Linked DNA regions of Caenorhabditis elegans. The protein of the gene in region 1 interacts with the protein of each later gene in a pairwise test. Each region holds a gene or a part of one and is shown in the gene's direction. Other genes may lie near its edges.

Region 1 (8,040 bases):
TTTTTTCCTTCTCCTCTCCTACCTATTCGTGCGTTCTCATTCCGTTTCCCTATTCTCTATTATCTTTTTGCTCAACGAGCTAGCTTATACTACTAGGTCGTTCTACAACCTTTCCTCCTAACCACGATAAGATTAGCCACCACGGTTGCTCGTGCTGCACCCTGATTAGTATCCAACACTCTCTGGGCTTTGTAATCACTCATGTGTATAGCAGCGACCCTCTCACCTTTAAATTTGAATTCGTGTGTGCTGCTCATAGAGAGAAAAGACTCATATTCATCCACGTACCCTTTGCTTCATCATCCGCCTATACCCCCCCCCCCCCCCACAGCTTCTCCCTCCCGCTCACCAATCCCTCCTCCTCTTTCCCCATTTTATGTGCACTTTGAAAATAACCTTATGAGATCGTCCAGTGAAAGGAAATGGAGACAAGAAGAGGCGCCGGTGGAAGGCAGGGGCAATAGGAGGAGAGACCTACTGTCACTCTCGTTTGACCGGCAATAGGCCCGATTGAATGTACGCGGTTTTCACGAATTTCAAGGTCTGACCCACAAAATTTCGTTCGCCCTCCATGCATCTTTCACCCAATTTTGCTTTTGCGCCAATATCCGCGCGCTGTCCCCCCCCCCCCCCCTCCCTCCATCCTTCATCCATTCCGGCTTACCATCGTCTCTCTCTCGATTGTTGTGTGAATGTGTGTGTGACCTACCGACCTACAGTTTAACTTTCTCACTTTGTACTTTCTTGAATTATCCTCCTCTCCTCCTCAACCGCCTTGCGTTTCGTTTTTCTTTCTCGCATTTTCATTTTTGTTCGATTAGTATCCTGGTTACTGGATCAGCGATGTAGCAACAATGTGTTACAAGTTTTGAAACTAGCAAACTAGTTGAAAAAGTCTGGTCGATAGCTTATCACTTTTATGATTAACATGTTTCATTTATTTTCTATATCTGTTGCATTTCCGCCATCGTTGAGAATCGCTATTTTTCTAGAAACTAACTCAATAACTGTCAAAATGATGATTACCACGTTTTTTAGGCTCAAACCAAACCGGTATGTACTATTTCGGACAATAGAAAAACTGTATCACTTTGGAATAATTTTTTTTTAAACCTCACTGTATATTCCTTTGTAACAACTATTTGTATACAGCAGATATATAGGTTTGGTTTCAAGATATTAATAATATGATTAGTTTCAATACTATAGGAACATAAGTTTGATAAGCTTTTTCTCTATTTTCAAATTGAGCAAATTCTTGCAAATAACCGTAAAGTATCTTGCAAGTTAAATTGGTAAAATCTGTTTTTCTGTTCATGGAATGTTTAGGAACAATAATTGATTCTTTTTAATTGTAGCAAAACTGATTTGTCAAACAAGTAACTTTTTAATGTTAAAAACTCTATTGTTATTTTTATTCTCATAAACCTACCACTACAGTTTTGTACCTTCTCAACCCACCCGGCAACGGCTCTCAGTACCAGGCGGTGACGTCCAAATGCTGCCATTTGGCTCTCAACGAGCTCCGCCGCCAAATGCGTGACCTTGAAAATTGGTAGACGAACCCCCCCCCCCCCCCTTCCACCGTCCCGTCATTTGAAATGCTCTTTTGCACACTCTGATCTCACTTCGATAAACTCGACCGGCCCTACCATCCGCGCTTTTTGTACACTGCGATTCTGACTCAGAAGTGAGGAAGATTTTGTACCTCTTTCGAACACACAATTTTACTTTTTTTTTGCTTCAAAACAACTATACAATTATTCTGACTTTGTTCGGTCTTGATAATACATTTATTCACACGAGGGAGCTCATTTCCTATCTTCTTTTCCGTTCTGATTACTATACAATCGCTCAAAAACTGGGTAACAAAAATATTATCGCATTTTCACGACATCTACAAGTCTAAACCAATTGTTCTTCTTTGCTCCCCCTCCCATTTACATACCCCATTATACTGTCCCTACCGTATGTTGCCTGCTCCATCTGCATACATTAATGACCTCTGATTAATGAGCCTCTTTCAGTGCGATGGACGTTGCGGACTCGACATCTGAGACGCCACCTGTTTTTGACCATGACAACTTGGCTCTCGCGGCACAGACCAACTTGTTGCAGTTCTACCTGACACATTTGGCATCCACACTGGTGCCGCCAATGAAATTGGATATGAGAGACTCGATGACTCCAAGGTAATTGCATTTTCCTGAAGATGTGGAGAGCTTAGTTTCAAAATTTTAAATTTTCAGCTTCAGTCAAACCGAAAGCCCAAACTCTGAAACCGACGACTCCACTTCTGCAGCAAACAAAGTTCTATTCTCTATTCTTGGAACTCCAACAACAGACAGTACTTCGGTATGCGAACTGAATGAAAATTATTGAAATTATGTAGTAGAACAATTACAGAATGCCGTTTCAAAATCCAGCAGCAAGCTGTGCTCGGTATGTGGTGACAAGTCAACCGGTCTACATTACGGTGCTGCCACCTGTGAAGGGTATGTGCATTTAGATATTAAAAATACGGAGGGGGGGGGGGGAAGTTCATACTTCGAGCAACAACAAAAAACTTTTTTCATGTATTTTGAAATTTACGCAGTTTCTGCTGTTTTCTGACCTCTGTTTTGAATTGTGGTACTTCCAATTAAGACATTGATGTTAATAGGATGCCATATAATACTATTTCAGCACTACATAATTAACCAAATTTTTTGTTTCAAAATATACATCTGGAATTATCTTTCAATCTGTATCTCTGTAATTAATTAATTAGGCAAGTGTTTTTACTGTTTGATGCTTTGAAATAGTGATGCTTTGAAAATTACTCTAATATAAATATCCATGCCGATTTCATAATTTAATTTAGTTTCACTTCACTTTCTTCCCTTTGCTTATATCTTGTTTTCTATCGAAAGTTTTCATATTGTTATTTTTCTTTTCCCGGGTGGTCAGAAATCTGTTCCGCTCGCCCTCTTCCAGGATCAACATAAAAACTGTCTGGAGAGAAGAAGGGGGAGAGCTATTAACGGAATTAGTGATCGGATCGGGAAAGCGAAAGTGGTGGTGGGGGGCACCACACCAGTGAAAGTCCAGTTGTCAGCACCAGTGCGCTACATTTTCATCCGATGCTGGGGAGGGGATGCTGACGCCGTCGCCGCCGTCGTCGTCAACGTAGACACACGTCCGCCTCGGGTGCTGGAGGGGGGGGGGGGCAGTCAGATTTTGCGGCCTTCAGAATCCGCGATGATGGTCAAGGCCTTCAGCATGACACGACGCACCGCCGAACACCCAGTCAGTGAAATGTTGCGAAGGGCGACGGCCGGCCAAATGTGTCACGCACCTCGACCATTCGTTTCTCACTACAGCGCCCTTCTCGCCTCCCGGTTGACCCTCGGTTTGGAAGGAGGTGAAGTCGGTAGTGGAAGTGCACTTTGAATCGGTTTAGACGGTTTTCTCTAGGTCACACGCACCATAAGAACTTGTTTCTTTTTTTTTCAATGTGTTACTATAAAAGTGATACTATCTGAATAAACCCTAAATCATAAACCCTTAAAAAAATATTTTTTTAACTCACAATTTTTCCATTTACAGCATAAACGTTCCCAAAATTATAGGCGCTCATTGTAAATATTTCATCTCAGCTTGCTGTAAATATTTCTATTTGACTGTACTGTTGTAAAGAACTGTGATTTTTAGTTGATGTCCGTCGAAATAATTATCTGAATAAAAAAAAACGCAATTGACCCGCACTTACGATAACAATCAAGCTATTTCACAAAAACGGGAGAGCTGCGAAAGTTCCCCCGAAAGTTCAGAACGGCCTTCCTAAGATAACAATCAGTGTACCACACCGTACTCAAAGTACAGAGGACACTCGGATAACGATCAAAGTAGGTTTCAGTAATCGACAGCTCAGTTAGAGAAAGTTCAAGTAATACATATTAGTCTATATCATTATCAATCGGACATATTGTCTCTCCGGAAAAAAATGTCGGAGGTCGACAAGGTTTTGTTAGGGAATCGCGTCGGACAAGGTCGGTTCAACTGGTGCCATTTGCGTACCTCTTCTCGTCACCTCTACTTTTCGGGGCCGCTCCTCCCCATCTTACTCGCTGCCCCACCTCTCATTTCTGATGACCACGACCCAATTTAAAGTGATTTTTGTCTTTTAAGTTGACCTTTTGCACAGTTTTCGTAGAGTTTTTTAAAATTTTAATTTAGAATATTTTCTATTTTCAAAACTTTTAAGCTGCCTTGCTGTTTCTTAAATTTATTTAGAAATTTAAGTTTTAACACGAAAATAATAAAAAAAACTTATTTTTATTTCTGTATAGGCTCACGTAACTTTTTTTTGTGCTTAAGTTTTAATGCTTATAATTGTGTGGAACGGTTTTACATTTTTAATCGGAATAAAATACCATTTCTAAGCATAAAAAATGCATGGCATAGTTTGTTTTCTAACAGCGGAATGCCTCGAATTTGACTTAAAATTTCAGTCAACCTATAAATCATGCAACCCATAGATAAAAATTTCCTCGGATGCACTTAGTGCCAGAGTGTCTGATTTCGGTTTGATCTACGCAGGTCTACAAAAAATGCGGGAGTTGAGACGCAGAGCAACTGATTTAGCATGGTTAAAAACGTGCTGACGTCACATTTTTTGGGCAAAAATTTCCCGCATTTTTTCTAGATCAAACGGTAATGGGACAACATGGCACCACGTGCGGATAATCTATTGGTTCAGAAAGCCAAAAAGTAGAAACAAAAAAATAGTCCAAAAAATAAAATGCCACATTAGCTAGAAAAATTGCAACACGTTTTTTTTTCAAGACACCAGTAACTTCTCCCCTTTTTTCGTCATACAACTTGAAAAAAGTTATGACAGACGGAAAATGTGGGTAGGTTGCAAGGGCATCTTAAAGAACAAGGTCACTCGAAGACCCCAAAAAGAGACGTCTCTGTTGCTGCCTCTTTTTTTTTTGCGCATTTCACTTTACTATCATTTTAACCCACCACCTTTTCCTCCCCCACATTTTCTTTTCCGCCGTCTTCTGGTTCTTCTAGTCCGCCACTTCTCACGTCGTCTGATTTTGAATTTTTTTTCCCGCCGTCCGTCTCGTTTTCCAAATGTTTCCACTTGTTTTGTTCTGTTGCATTCATTTTTCTCGATTCTGAAATGTCAACAACTGTCATTTGGCCGCTGGTCAATTGATTTGTTCCATATGCTCCACCTGCTCGTAACTTGTTACTTGTAACCTTGAATTTTCAAATTTTGAAACCCAGCTAGTTCAAAATGCTCAACAACTACTGTATTTCAGGTGCAAAGGATTCTTCAAGCGGTCCGTTCAAAACAAAAAAGTATATCACTGCAGTCAAGACAACTGCTGTGAAATTGACAAACAAAATAGAAACAGGTATGTAAATTCGAAAAATTCCATTCAACAAAAAAAAAGTTCACAATAAACCGTAATTGACCTTCCAGGTGTCAATCTTGTCGTTTCCGAAAGTGCATCAGCAAGGGCATGCTAACCGAAGGTTAGTTTTTCGGCACGGAGAATAACCGCAAAATTGTTTGTCTTTTTGTAGCAGTGAGAGAAGATCGCATGCCCGGCGGGAGAAATGGGAACAGTATCTATAGCAACTACAAGCAGAGGAGGAGTATCATTAGGAAAACGAAAGATTATGTGGAGGAGCAGGAGAGAAGGCCGTTTCAGAGCCTTCCAAGTGGGAAAAAGTTAATAAAGGTGAGTGAGCACTTGCAGAGCGATATGTAGTTTTTTGGCAGCCCCCGACACTTTCGGGGTTTCCATACCATGGTGGCTAGTGGCTCGAGACCGGCGGAACCTCGAAAGTGTCGGGGGCTTCCAAACAACTACATATCGCACTGCGTTGCTCAGCCCCAGCTCTAAATGCGGGGCTGGAGCTGAGCCCCTCGCAGCCCTTTAGCAGCCCTAGTGCATTATGAGCCAGTTAAAAATTTGAAACAAATTATTGCCTTATTCGATTTTGCTATTTTACAGGAACTGGTTGAGATGGACTGCCTAGACCGGCTCATCAACCTAAAAGGACTCCGAATTAATCCATCTGCAAACTGCGATATTGCCCCTGCTTGCAAAAGGTTAACCAGAATAGGAGATGAAATTGTGGAGCAACTTGTTGAGTGGACGAAAACCTTGCCGTTTTTCGACGAACTACCCGTAGAAGCACACACCCACCTTTTGACACAACGATGGGCCGAGCTAGTATTACTATCTGCTGGATACTACGCGTGCTCGGTCTTTACTCCGGACTCCCCCGACACAACAGAAATGATAGACGAAACTGACGAGATCTCATTCACAAACCCACAGGTCAACCTTCGGCTACTTCAAAATCGATTATCACTGGTGCTCGGCAAAGAAATTCCATTGGAACACGTGGCGAAGTAGACTATCAAACTTAACTTTATTTATTCTAAATGATAATTTTCCAGAGAAGCCGGTCCGCTTGTCACCCGTTTCACGACCCTCCTCCATTCGTTCTCAAATCTCAAGGTCTCTCCGGAAGCGTACGTCTGTATCAAAGCTATCACTCTTCTTCACCTCTCCGCCGACTCGACACTTGATAGGAGTATCATCGACAAGGTCAACACGCTTCAGGATCACTTTGTCAAAACACTTCAAATTCATCTGCACCAGCCGGGAGAGGACGCGCAGACGACGAGCCTCGCACAGATACTTGACTGGTGAGTTTTTATTAAAAATTGTATCAGAGTTAGAAAAAATGCATGTTTTCAATAAGTTGATGTGCACCTTTGGAAGCCCACCTGACATAATTTTTAATTGCTTATTCATATCCGTAAAATTTGCTAAGTTGGCAAAAGTGAATAGTTTTCCTAATGATACCTGTCCAGTCACTGACTTTGGTTCTCATTCCAAAATAAATTATAGTCGTACATATTCTGATATACGACATTACTTTAAAAGGCTCTAATATTATATAATCATTCCATGATAAAACGTTCGCAATTTTCCAGGCTTCCGGATTTGCGAAACGCTTCGTCAGTGCTGCTTCATTCAAAAATGTTCTACGTCCCATTCCTGCTTTGCAAGAATCCGCGACGTCTAGTGTTCGACGAGTAGTCTTCCCCAATACCCTCAATACAGCTTTATTTCTCGGTTGTGCAATATAATTTAGTTCATTTTTTCCACTTATTATTCGTTTCTTTTTTTTTTGAAATTCCCCTGCCTCTTTCCAATTCTTCCCACGAAACCAAAAAAGTTGACGTTTTTTTTTTCTTCTCTGTCTCTATCAATCAATCTGTTTGATCTATCTATCATAACATAGACGTGTGGTCGGAAACATAATCAAATAGTTTCTATGATTTTGGATCCTACAGTATCATTTTCTACTACTTTTCTTCAAGTTGTGAATTTCTGGAATAATTTGTGTGCAATTCGTGATGTCTTTGTGTTCTCTCCCCATTCTCTGTTCCTATCTCGTTTCTCATTCACCCACTCTCTCAAACAATTTGTAGTGTATTTTTCTACGAAAGAAAAAAATTTATTGGTTTAACATTTTTTTTAAATTTTACAGATTACAGAATCAGAATTGATACATAAACCATATGTTATGTTGTTGAAACTGCTTCATTTCGAAGTCAGTTATTGAACTCGAACGCCGATCTTCCGCTAAAAAATAAAAATTCCGGAATTTTTGATTTGAAAACTCTGAAACTTACGTCAACAGCTGAACGCGAGGAGTTAGCATTGGTGAGTGGTGAGCCAGGCGAGAAGCATGAGCAAGACGGTCTGCTAGAAATGAAGACATCACCATCCATGCCTTCACCGTTTCTTTATGACGACGCCCCGGACCATTCCATTCGGTGGCGGTGGTTAGCAAGCTTTCGCCAAATTTTTCCCAATGTTTTCCACTGAAAATAAAGATCAATGTAAATTAATGTAAATTAATATTAAAAAATTATTTCAAAAAAAAAACCGGAAAAATCATGAAAGAATAAGTACATCTTATCTCACTAATGTGATAATCGTGCAACTCACGTGA
Region 2 (5,040 bases), 8.1 Mb from region 1:
TTTCTGAAAAATTCTGAAAAGATTTTACTATGATATTTTGCCAACTGAGTTTTTAACAATTTACCCACTGGCGCTGTCCCACCTCTAGGATTTCAAAATGTTAATTGATAAATTTTGAGAGTAAATTCATGCCGTAAAATAAACAATTCGCACTGAATTAGACACATAGTCTTCAACAATACATGATTAATATCTTCTAAATCCCTTTTTCTGACTGAAATCGACCACTTCCTATTTGGTCAAATTGTAGATTTGGTGAATTCATCAGTGAAGCTGATAGATCACAACATGTTTATCGTCGGACTTGCCGGACAGCAGAGACTAACAAGCGAGAGAAGCAAAACGAGTGAAAAAAGAAAGTGGAGAGAGAGCATAAACACATAGTTTATCTGTATTTCAGAATGTCTCCACAATTCGCCTGCTCTTTCGTCTCTTCATTCCCCTTTGAATATTTTTCTTCTTCTAGCTTCACCAGGTCTCACCAATTTGTCACGTCCAGATCCGCCTACACGGTGCGATGGATAAGTGTTGCAAGAAGGGACACGACAAACTGACATACAGGATGAAGCCCTTAGCACACGTTTTATTTTACCGCTGTTTGGTTTCCAAATTGGAAATGTGAAAATGGGAGTGGAAAGAGGAGAAGAGAAAGGAAATGAAAAGTAGAAGCAGAAATGGTTAGTGACAAGCGCCGCGGCATGCACTATGCTCATGACAGTCATGAGATAGACTACGCAGTTGATCTTTTTTTTGGTGGGAATTTTTTTCAGTATTAAAAATAAAAGTTTTATATTGTGAATTTTGTTGAAACAGCGGCATTATTTTACAAAAGTACGTACGGTCGAGTGTTCAGTCAAGGCCGGTGACCTCTTCACAGGTTTACTGAGAAGCGTAAACACGAACCACATGTTGCAACATACACCAGTCAGATTTTTTGTATTTTTCCAACATCTTTCGTATCGTCCGTTACAGCTTTCCGTTTTTGCGGGTTTTCTAATGGGTGTCAGTTTTCAACCGCACAGGCTCACTATCTTGTGTCTATTCCCTCTCTATCCGCTCATTGATTTTTTTGGTGATTACGGCGCACGGCAACTGTGTACAATTTACCTGCTCGCCTGTTTTCGCCAACTGTCATCGTCATGTTTTCTTCATCTACCGCGCCAAAACTCCCCCTCCTCTCTTCTTGTCGGTTTTCTTTTCGTTTTGTTACTGACAGATCTTGTGAAATCTAGAAATGAAATATTATGAGTTTTTTTGTAAAGCAATTTCTTCGCCCAGATGTTTTACGCTGTTGAGTATAGTTTCTTATTAGTTATATTAAATTAAGTTTGAGAGTGTAATAATGTGTTTGTGAGACAAGCTGAAACATGAAAATTGAATCAAGTAATTTTATTAAACGGATTTAGTTTTGATAGCTAGCTTCAAATACAAAAATGAAACCCGTTTGCAAAAATCTAGTTCTGTATCCATGTTCATTTGTAGGAAATATCCCGAATAATGAATAGTTTTGTGCCGTATCCGGCTGGCACAGTGTGCTCGGCGGAAAAGGCTTGAGCTCTGGTGCTGCTTCTCCTCGACCAACACATTCACTCGCTCCACACTCCCATTCCGACTAGGAAACGAGCTAGCTGTAGACAGACCGCCAAGTGACGAGTGACCGCATGAATCAGAGAGAGCTTCAAGACTCGTCTCGGGATACTGAGTAGGCACCCCATAGCAAGCCAGAACGTTATGCAAAATAGGGCGGAGCCTCCACGTCCCCTGCCTGTCTTTCGTTTTCTATCGTCCACATCGTCGTCGTGGAGCGCCTTCCCTGTTTGGAAAAGAAGACGTGGTCACCCTTCTATTCACTGTAGAGCTCCGTGCCCTCCACGTCCACGAGTTGAGCTCTCTCCGGCTCCGGCGTTTTCTGTCGCTCCACCCCTTAGGAATAGCTCGGAGCCCCACCCCTCTCTCTGTGCGCCCGTCCTGTCCGATCGGTCGGCACTCTCCTCCCCCCTCCGTCCGTCCTTTTCATCGTCTCCTTCTACCAGGAGCACGTTTTACCTTTTCCTGGCACCCATCTATTTTGTGGACAGGGTCCCTCTCTTCACTCCAATCATACTCACTAAATCGTTATTCACAAAACATCAACGTTGGCACAGGTTGAAGAAAAGCTGACGTTAAAGAAAACAGAGTCGTTGACCATCCTGGATGTCTGTGTGCGTATCACCGCTAGTACAAGCAACGATTCTGATGACAGAAGAGAGTCTGACATGTCCTCAGTGTCCGAAGTCATTTTCAAGTACAAAACTCTTGCAACAACATCAGCAAATGTTTCATACCGATAAAGTGAGTCACAGTTTTGCATCATTTTTATGTGTTTTTATTGTCTTATTTGTCGCTATCTGATCCAATAGGCCAAATTCGCTCATTTTCTATTTTTGTGCGCTAACTTTTCGATTATGAAAATCTCGCATCAGATAGGCAGCGCACTTTGATGAATATAAGTACAATTCTAGAACATCAAGTTAGAGTAGTTTTCCCAGTAGCGAGAGTCATATTATAATTGTATTAGAAGATCAGAGAGTATTTTGTTCCATAAACCATATCTGTCGTATTCCATTCGATTGTGTATTCCATTCGATTGTGCAACACAAAAGTTTATGAGCCTATACGATACTGCACAACAGTTGCCCACCCATACCGTATTTCGCCCAGTAGAGAGGCCAGGCGGTATGTTTCGTTAGCGATTGGACAGTTCTACAGTTACACTGCAGCAGTTGGCGCGCATAGTTCGCTTTGGTAGATAAGATATTATCATAAGAATCTAACAAATGCACTCTGTAGTACCGTCTTTCAGTGTTTTATTGAGTTTTATACTCTTTTTTGACCTTAAGTTTTAAATATTTGATTTATACTTTCAAATATTCATTGCATCCACGGTTTATCTGACAAGATTAGAATTTTAAGTATGTTATTATGTAGACTGGTAGCTCATTTAGTTTTGATCCTACTATCAGAAAGTGCACCAGATTAATCACTTGTGTGAACTGCACAGAAAAAGGAAATAGTTAGGACGTAGACCTTGACAACGGAAACCACACCTTTGCTCATGCTCGATCTCGCTTTCTAATCTTATTCAGCTGCTTTGCCACAAGAATGTACTTTTGAAGAACCCCTTGATTGAACTAAGACATCAGAAGCCGGTATGAGATATAATGAGATATTTTTAATTACGATACATTTTACCAAAACAATAAAATCTTAAGAATATTACATAGATACATATAAGCAAGACACTAAGCTTTTTAGATTTTTCTGTAGTGGTTCTGTTGACATTCGATCATAGAGTAGTGGTGTGCACCGCTAACTGCTTCCAGAATTGGCGGGACCTAGTTGTTTACGAGGTGTGTGCTCATTTTCCTCTCCTACATACTTGCCTGTTTTCTCTCATCGAAAATAAGACGACCAGCGCAGCAAGGCACCTGACCTCTGGACCAGCGGGGTTTTCCGGTTCACTCTTTTTCCTGATCTTTGCGAAAATGTCATCTCATCCATTTACTGTACAACATCGCATCTTCCGATATATAATCTGATCGCAGTCGCATTTTCATTTTCACCCAGATGGTTCAATGGTAGTTTTGTGTTTTGTGGGAGAAAGATAGGGGCCAGATGCTTTGGTGAATCGCATCGTTTTCCGTCCGTCTCGCCCACATTGCTTACTATTTTGCCATCGGAAACTTTGTCCCTCGCTCCTCCTCCGGCATCTTGTCGCGCTGCTCTGTCATCTACTTGTTCCTTTTTGTCGGTGCACGGGGTATTTTCCGCTCTAGCGATATATTCCGCCTAGTTTTTTTCCAGTTGAACTATCTTGTCTTTTTCGCCGCTTACTCTTTCTCACGTTCCATTTCCATTTTCAGTCTGTACTCCTCTCATTGAAGTCAACCGATGCACCAGTGGGAATGGATCGAGTAAGTAGACAAAATCAAGATGATAAGAAAGACGCGTCTAATAAAGCCATATATCATGCTCATTTGACCGTCAGTATAGAATGAGCAGAAATAGACGAAAATGCGGGGAAATAACGTGTGGCTGCCATTCCACGCAAATTTAATCATCCGTGTGTTGCGTTTCTGTGCTCCACGCAAACACACTAGAACCATCATGCCCTCCTCGTTTTCAAGGAGCCCAGCCTGCTGCTGCCGGACGGTAATGAAAACCGACCAGTGTTGATTGTTTATGGCTGCCTATCCCCTTCCTTTCCGTTTACTCGAAAAGCTGTAGAAACCCATTGGAAAAAGCATGCACAATAGAGAGTACCAGAGAAGGGCGCAATAAATTTTTCAATCAATTTCGATTCTGTGTGCGCAGTGTGTACGCGCAGACCCACATTTTTCTGATTTGATTCATTTGAAACCAATCTGAAATCGCAAAACCACAAAACCATAGAAAAAGAGCAGAAGCTGGTTGTGAGAACAATCAAACGAACAAGATAAAAGGATGACGTCATTGAATGTGTGCCTGTGTGTGACATATGTAAAAGTATTTGAAAGAGATTAGGGATTAGGACTACAGTTCTTGATAGACTTGTAATACAAATTAAAAATTGAGACTTCATGTCTTATATAATCCGCGAACAAGATATTCAGCTAGGATCAGACCGGTTTCATATACCCATAGCAAAGTATAATCTTTTTTATGAATTAATAATTTCAGGCATTCATATGTGAAACATGCGGGAAAGCTTTTCGGTTTCGGTCCAACTTAGCAGAGCATCGATCAGTACATACAGCATTAAAACCTTATGTCTGTAAATTTTGTGGCAAATCCAGTAGGTTAAAAGGTTAGTTTTTGATTAGATTGATAAAATTAAAACAATTATTTTCCAGGAAATTTAACAAAACACATATTAAAACATCACAAAAAAGAGCAGAACGAAGCAATAGCAAAAGATGATATTATTGTAAAGAAAGCACCAAAAATAGTAACCAAAGATAATGGTCCAACAACAAACGGATCAACACCAACTACCTCCACTGCAACACCATCCGTAATCAC
Region 3 (3,170 bases), on another chromosome or scaffold:
ATTTGTTTATAAGTGGACGAAACTCGGTTTCCTTCAAGAATGAGACAATGTTGATGCCAAAGTCCAAGAGCTCAGCCTCGGAAGACATTCCCAATGCTACACCGTAAACAGCTCCTTCTGTAACCATAAGTTGTCTTGCGTTGATCGTGGTCTCGGCGCGATTTCCAATTACTGCAACTCTACCACGTGGAGCCAGCAATCCGAGGTCCGTGTTCAGATTTGTGTGAGCAGCCATTTCGAAAATGTGGTTGAAGCCTCCTGGATAATCATTTTTCATTTTCGACACATATTGCTTATCCGAATGATTATAGACATTCCGTGCACCAAGACTCTTCACGAACCGGATCCCATCAGCAGATCCAGCAGTGCCAACAGCTTCAATGTTCCTCCAGGCAGCCAGCTGCATCAGTGCACTTCCCACTCCACCAGATGCTCCGTGTACAAGTATAACGTCGCCAGTCTGAGAAGAGAATTAGTTTTGGGAGGGAACAGCAGATGGTCGTATTTTAGACCGCCCCTTGTTTGAGATGGAACAGATGGTCAAGTTGGCTTTGTAAAGATTGATTTGTATTGATTTTGCCTCCTAATTTTGATACGTTTTTGCCAAAATTTTAATATTCTCTATGAACCATTTAATAATAAATAAAAGTCAAACCTTTGCACCAGCAAGATGAAACAATGCACGATAAGCGGTAAGATAAGGCACTCCGAGAGAAGCTCCTTCCTCAAACGAAACTCCTGAAATGAGATTTTAGCTATATCTTAGGTCTCGCCACGCGGGCAACTAGCTACAGTAACCCGTTGCGCAATGATTCTTTTACCTTCCGGCAACTCGAATGGTCGATTCACCGCAACATACTCTGCTGTACTGTCCGCTTCTGATCCATACCAGACTCGATCGCCGACTTTCACATTTTTAACGCTTTCTCCCACAAGTTCGACGAATCCGGCTCCATCTTTTCCTGGTACATATGGAAGATTTGGTAGTTTTCCATACTGACCAGCACGAATATATGTGTCAACTGGATTGACACCGGCAGCGTAATTCCGAACGAGAACCTGGTTTTTTTCAAGCCTGGGCATATCACTCTCGACGGCTTCTATGACATCAGGTGCTCCGAATCGTCGGACTACAGCTGCGCGCATGCTTGATTTGCAAATCGATTTGCTCATTGTTCTAAAAATGGCACTTATCAGTAATATGAAATGCGTACTCGCACTGATTAGGCGCACGGATTTATTCGGATGGGTCTCGCAGCGAGAAAAATGTTATGGTAACACTTTGTGGCGGGACCAATCCGAATCAAACCGTGTACCTTTAAGTACGCGTTCAGAAAATTGCGAAATTACTATATTTTTGCAACTTTTGTTTCATTTTTCCGTAAAAGGTTTGAGTAAATGTTTATCAAATTATCGACTTTTAGACTATTTTTAGTGTTTTAGCAGAAAATCTCTGAAAATTCGACAAAATTTGATTAGAATTACATAACAAAAAACAATTTTAAAAAGCTAGGACATTGATTTGCACGGGAACTCAACAAAAAATCAGAAAATTGATTTTCTTTTAGCAAAATTGAAAAAAAAAAAACAATTTTTAGCAGCTGTGCCTTTAATACAAAACAAAGATTGAAACGATGATAACCAATATTCAATTTTTATAATTTTTTTTCGGTCGCAAACAAAATTGTCATCATTTTCTTGTGATTTTATTGAACCCAAGTGTTTCATTTCAATGTTCACAGATCTTGTCCGAGAGGACTACACAGTTAGCCTTAGCAAACGCGCTCCACTGGGCACTCACACAAATCGAATGAGCGCGCGGCAAACGAGCGTCAAGCCGTGCTAGCAGGCGGATTGTCCGACGAAATTATCGATTTTTTCTTGATTTTTCGGATTTTAAAGCAAATTTCTTTGTTAATAATTTCAATTTTCAGCGTTCCAGCAACTTGGGCACTTTCAAAATGGGTAAGTTCGCTTTCTAAATTCAAAAATGATTATTTTCGCATATTTTTCTCTTTTCCAGTCGATGTACCACGCAATTTCCGTCTGCTGGAAGAACTTGAAGAAGGACAAAAAGGCAAGGGAGATGGAAACATTTCGTGGGGTTTGGAGGATGACAGCGATATGACTCTCACCAGATGGACTGCTTCCATCATTGGTCCACCGAGAGTGAGTCAGCGGAATTAATCATTTTTTATTATTAGTTTTTTGCTTTCAGACTCCATACGAATCGCGAATCTACAATCTGCAAATCCAGTGCGGCGGGAATTATCCGCGAGAGCCACCAACCGTTCGTTTCACCACCAAAGTTCACATGGTGGGAGTCAATCAGAGCAATGGAGTGATTGATAAGCGAAATTTGACAACACTTCGCAACTGGAGCAATAGTTACATGATCAAGACCGTGCTCGAGGATATCCGCAAGAACATGATGATGGCCAAAGAGAATCTGAAATTGCAGCAACCGGCAGAGGGCGCCATGTTCTAAATTCTTTTATTGATTTTTTGTATACCCAGTTTACTCTCCCCGGTAGTAGCTTTCCCCTCGAACTTTTCCCCCACACTTTATTTATAATTATTATATTATTCGCCATTCAATTTCCATGTAAAATTTTAAAATTTCAATGTGATTTTTTTATTTTTTGTTCTTCATTTTTGCGTAATTTTAACGCATTTCATACCTACCTGCTCAATTACTGTCTCTTTCGAGATTTCAATCATGTTTTTCAGATTCAATTATCCTAAAGTATGTCATATGCCGATTTGAAACCAGTCAAATTCGATTTCGACATTCAATATCAACCATCCAGCCAGCATCCTCCGTACTATAATTCGTTTGGAATTGCCGAGCCGGATCCCCGTCATAATTTGTACGCACCAACAGCACCACCACATCATCATCATCACCACCATCAGCACCAGCCACAACAACATTTACATTATATGATTGATAGTCAAGACTCAGATAGTCAGGATTCTGTGGACTCTTTCCGTACACCTGCACCGATCTCGTCTGCAACAAGGTTTTCTACTCACACTCCTCGAGCTTCCAGAGCGTCGAGTAACGATTCTGAGAGCGGAGAGCTTAGCGAAGAAGTTATGAATCATTGGTTGCCAATGACTTGGTGTGAACGATCGTCGGATGATCCACAAGGTAATTAATATTCAGA

The links.
Region 2: the proteins of nhr-91 (region 1) and syd-9 interact in binary tests that used the Caenorhabditis elegans proteins (3 or more experiments, as listed by UniProt).
Region 3: the proteins of nhr-91 (region 1) and uev-1 interact in a two-hybrid assay, tested with the Caenorhabditis elegans proteins (2 studies listed by BioGRID).

The regions. Positions count from the first base shown.
Region 1 is NC_003284.9:15,307,348-15,315,387, forward strand, and holds nhr-91 (Nuclear hormone receptor family member nhr-91), read left to right. Parts: upstream 1-2,027; 5' UTR 2,028-2,031; coding exon 2,032-2,192; intron 2,193-2,249; coding exon 2,250-2,355; intron 2,356-2,406; coding exon 2,407-2,495; intron 2,496-3,052; exon of another isoform or gene 3,053-3,346; intron 3,347-4,021; exon of another isoform or gene 4,022-4,156; intron 4,157-5,315; coding exon 5,316-5,411; intron 5,412-5,479; coding exon 5,480-5,532; intron 5,533-5,583; coding exon 5,584-5,741; intron 5,742-6,017; coding exon 6,018-6,421; intron 6,422-6,469; coding exon 6,470-6,721; intron 6,722-6,894; exon of another isoform or gene 6,895-6,963; intron 6,964-7,012; coding exon 7,013-7,118; 3' UTR 7,119-7,547; downstream 7,548-8,040. Other genes in the region: glb-28 (Globin domain-containing protein), read right to left, coding at 7,637-7,667, 7,718-7,909, 8,037-8,040. UniProt on the Caenorhabditis elegans protein: Orphan nuclear receptor.
Region 2 is NC_003284.9:7,216,275-7,221,314, forward strand, and holds the start of syd-9 (Zinc finger protein syd-9), read left to right. Parts: upstream 1-1,995; 5' UTR 1,996-2,193; coding exon 2,194-2,331; intron 2,332-3,902; coding exon 3,903-3,953; intron 3,954-4,069; exon of another isoform or gene 4,070-4,301; intron 4,302-4,698; coding exon 4,699-4,825; intron 4,826-4,871; coding exon 4,872-5,040. UniProt on the Caenorhabditis elegans protein: Plays a role in regulating synaptic function, probably by modulation of endocytosis. May be dispensable in muscle for normal locomotion. May be involved in post-transcriptional mRNA processing, in parallel with unc-75.
Region 3 is NC_003279.8:14,788,310-14,791,479, forward strand, and holds uev-1 (Ubiquitin-conjugating enzyme E2 variant 1), read left to right. Parts: upstream 1-1,934; 5' UTR 1,935-1,961; coding exon 1,962-1,965; intron 1,966-2,023; coding exon 2,024-2,169; intron 2,170-2,218; coding exon 2,219-2,488; 3' UTR 2,489-2,625; downstream 2,626-3,170. Other genes in the region: F39B2.3 (15-oxoprostaglandin 13-reductase), read right to left, coding at 1-460, 656-738, 822-1,173; hinf-1 (C2H2-type domain-containing protein), read left to right, coding at 2,749-3,154. UniProt on the Caenorhabditis elegans protein: Involved in protein ubiquitination, but has no ubiquitin ligase activity on its own. The uev-1-ubc-13 heterodimer catalyzes the synthesis of non-canonical poly-ubiquitin chains that are linked through Lys-63.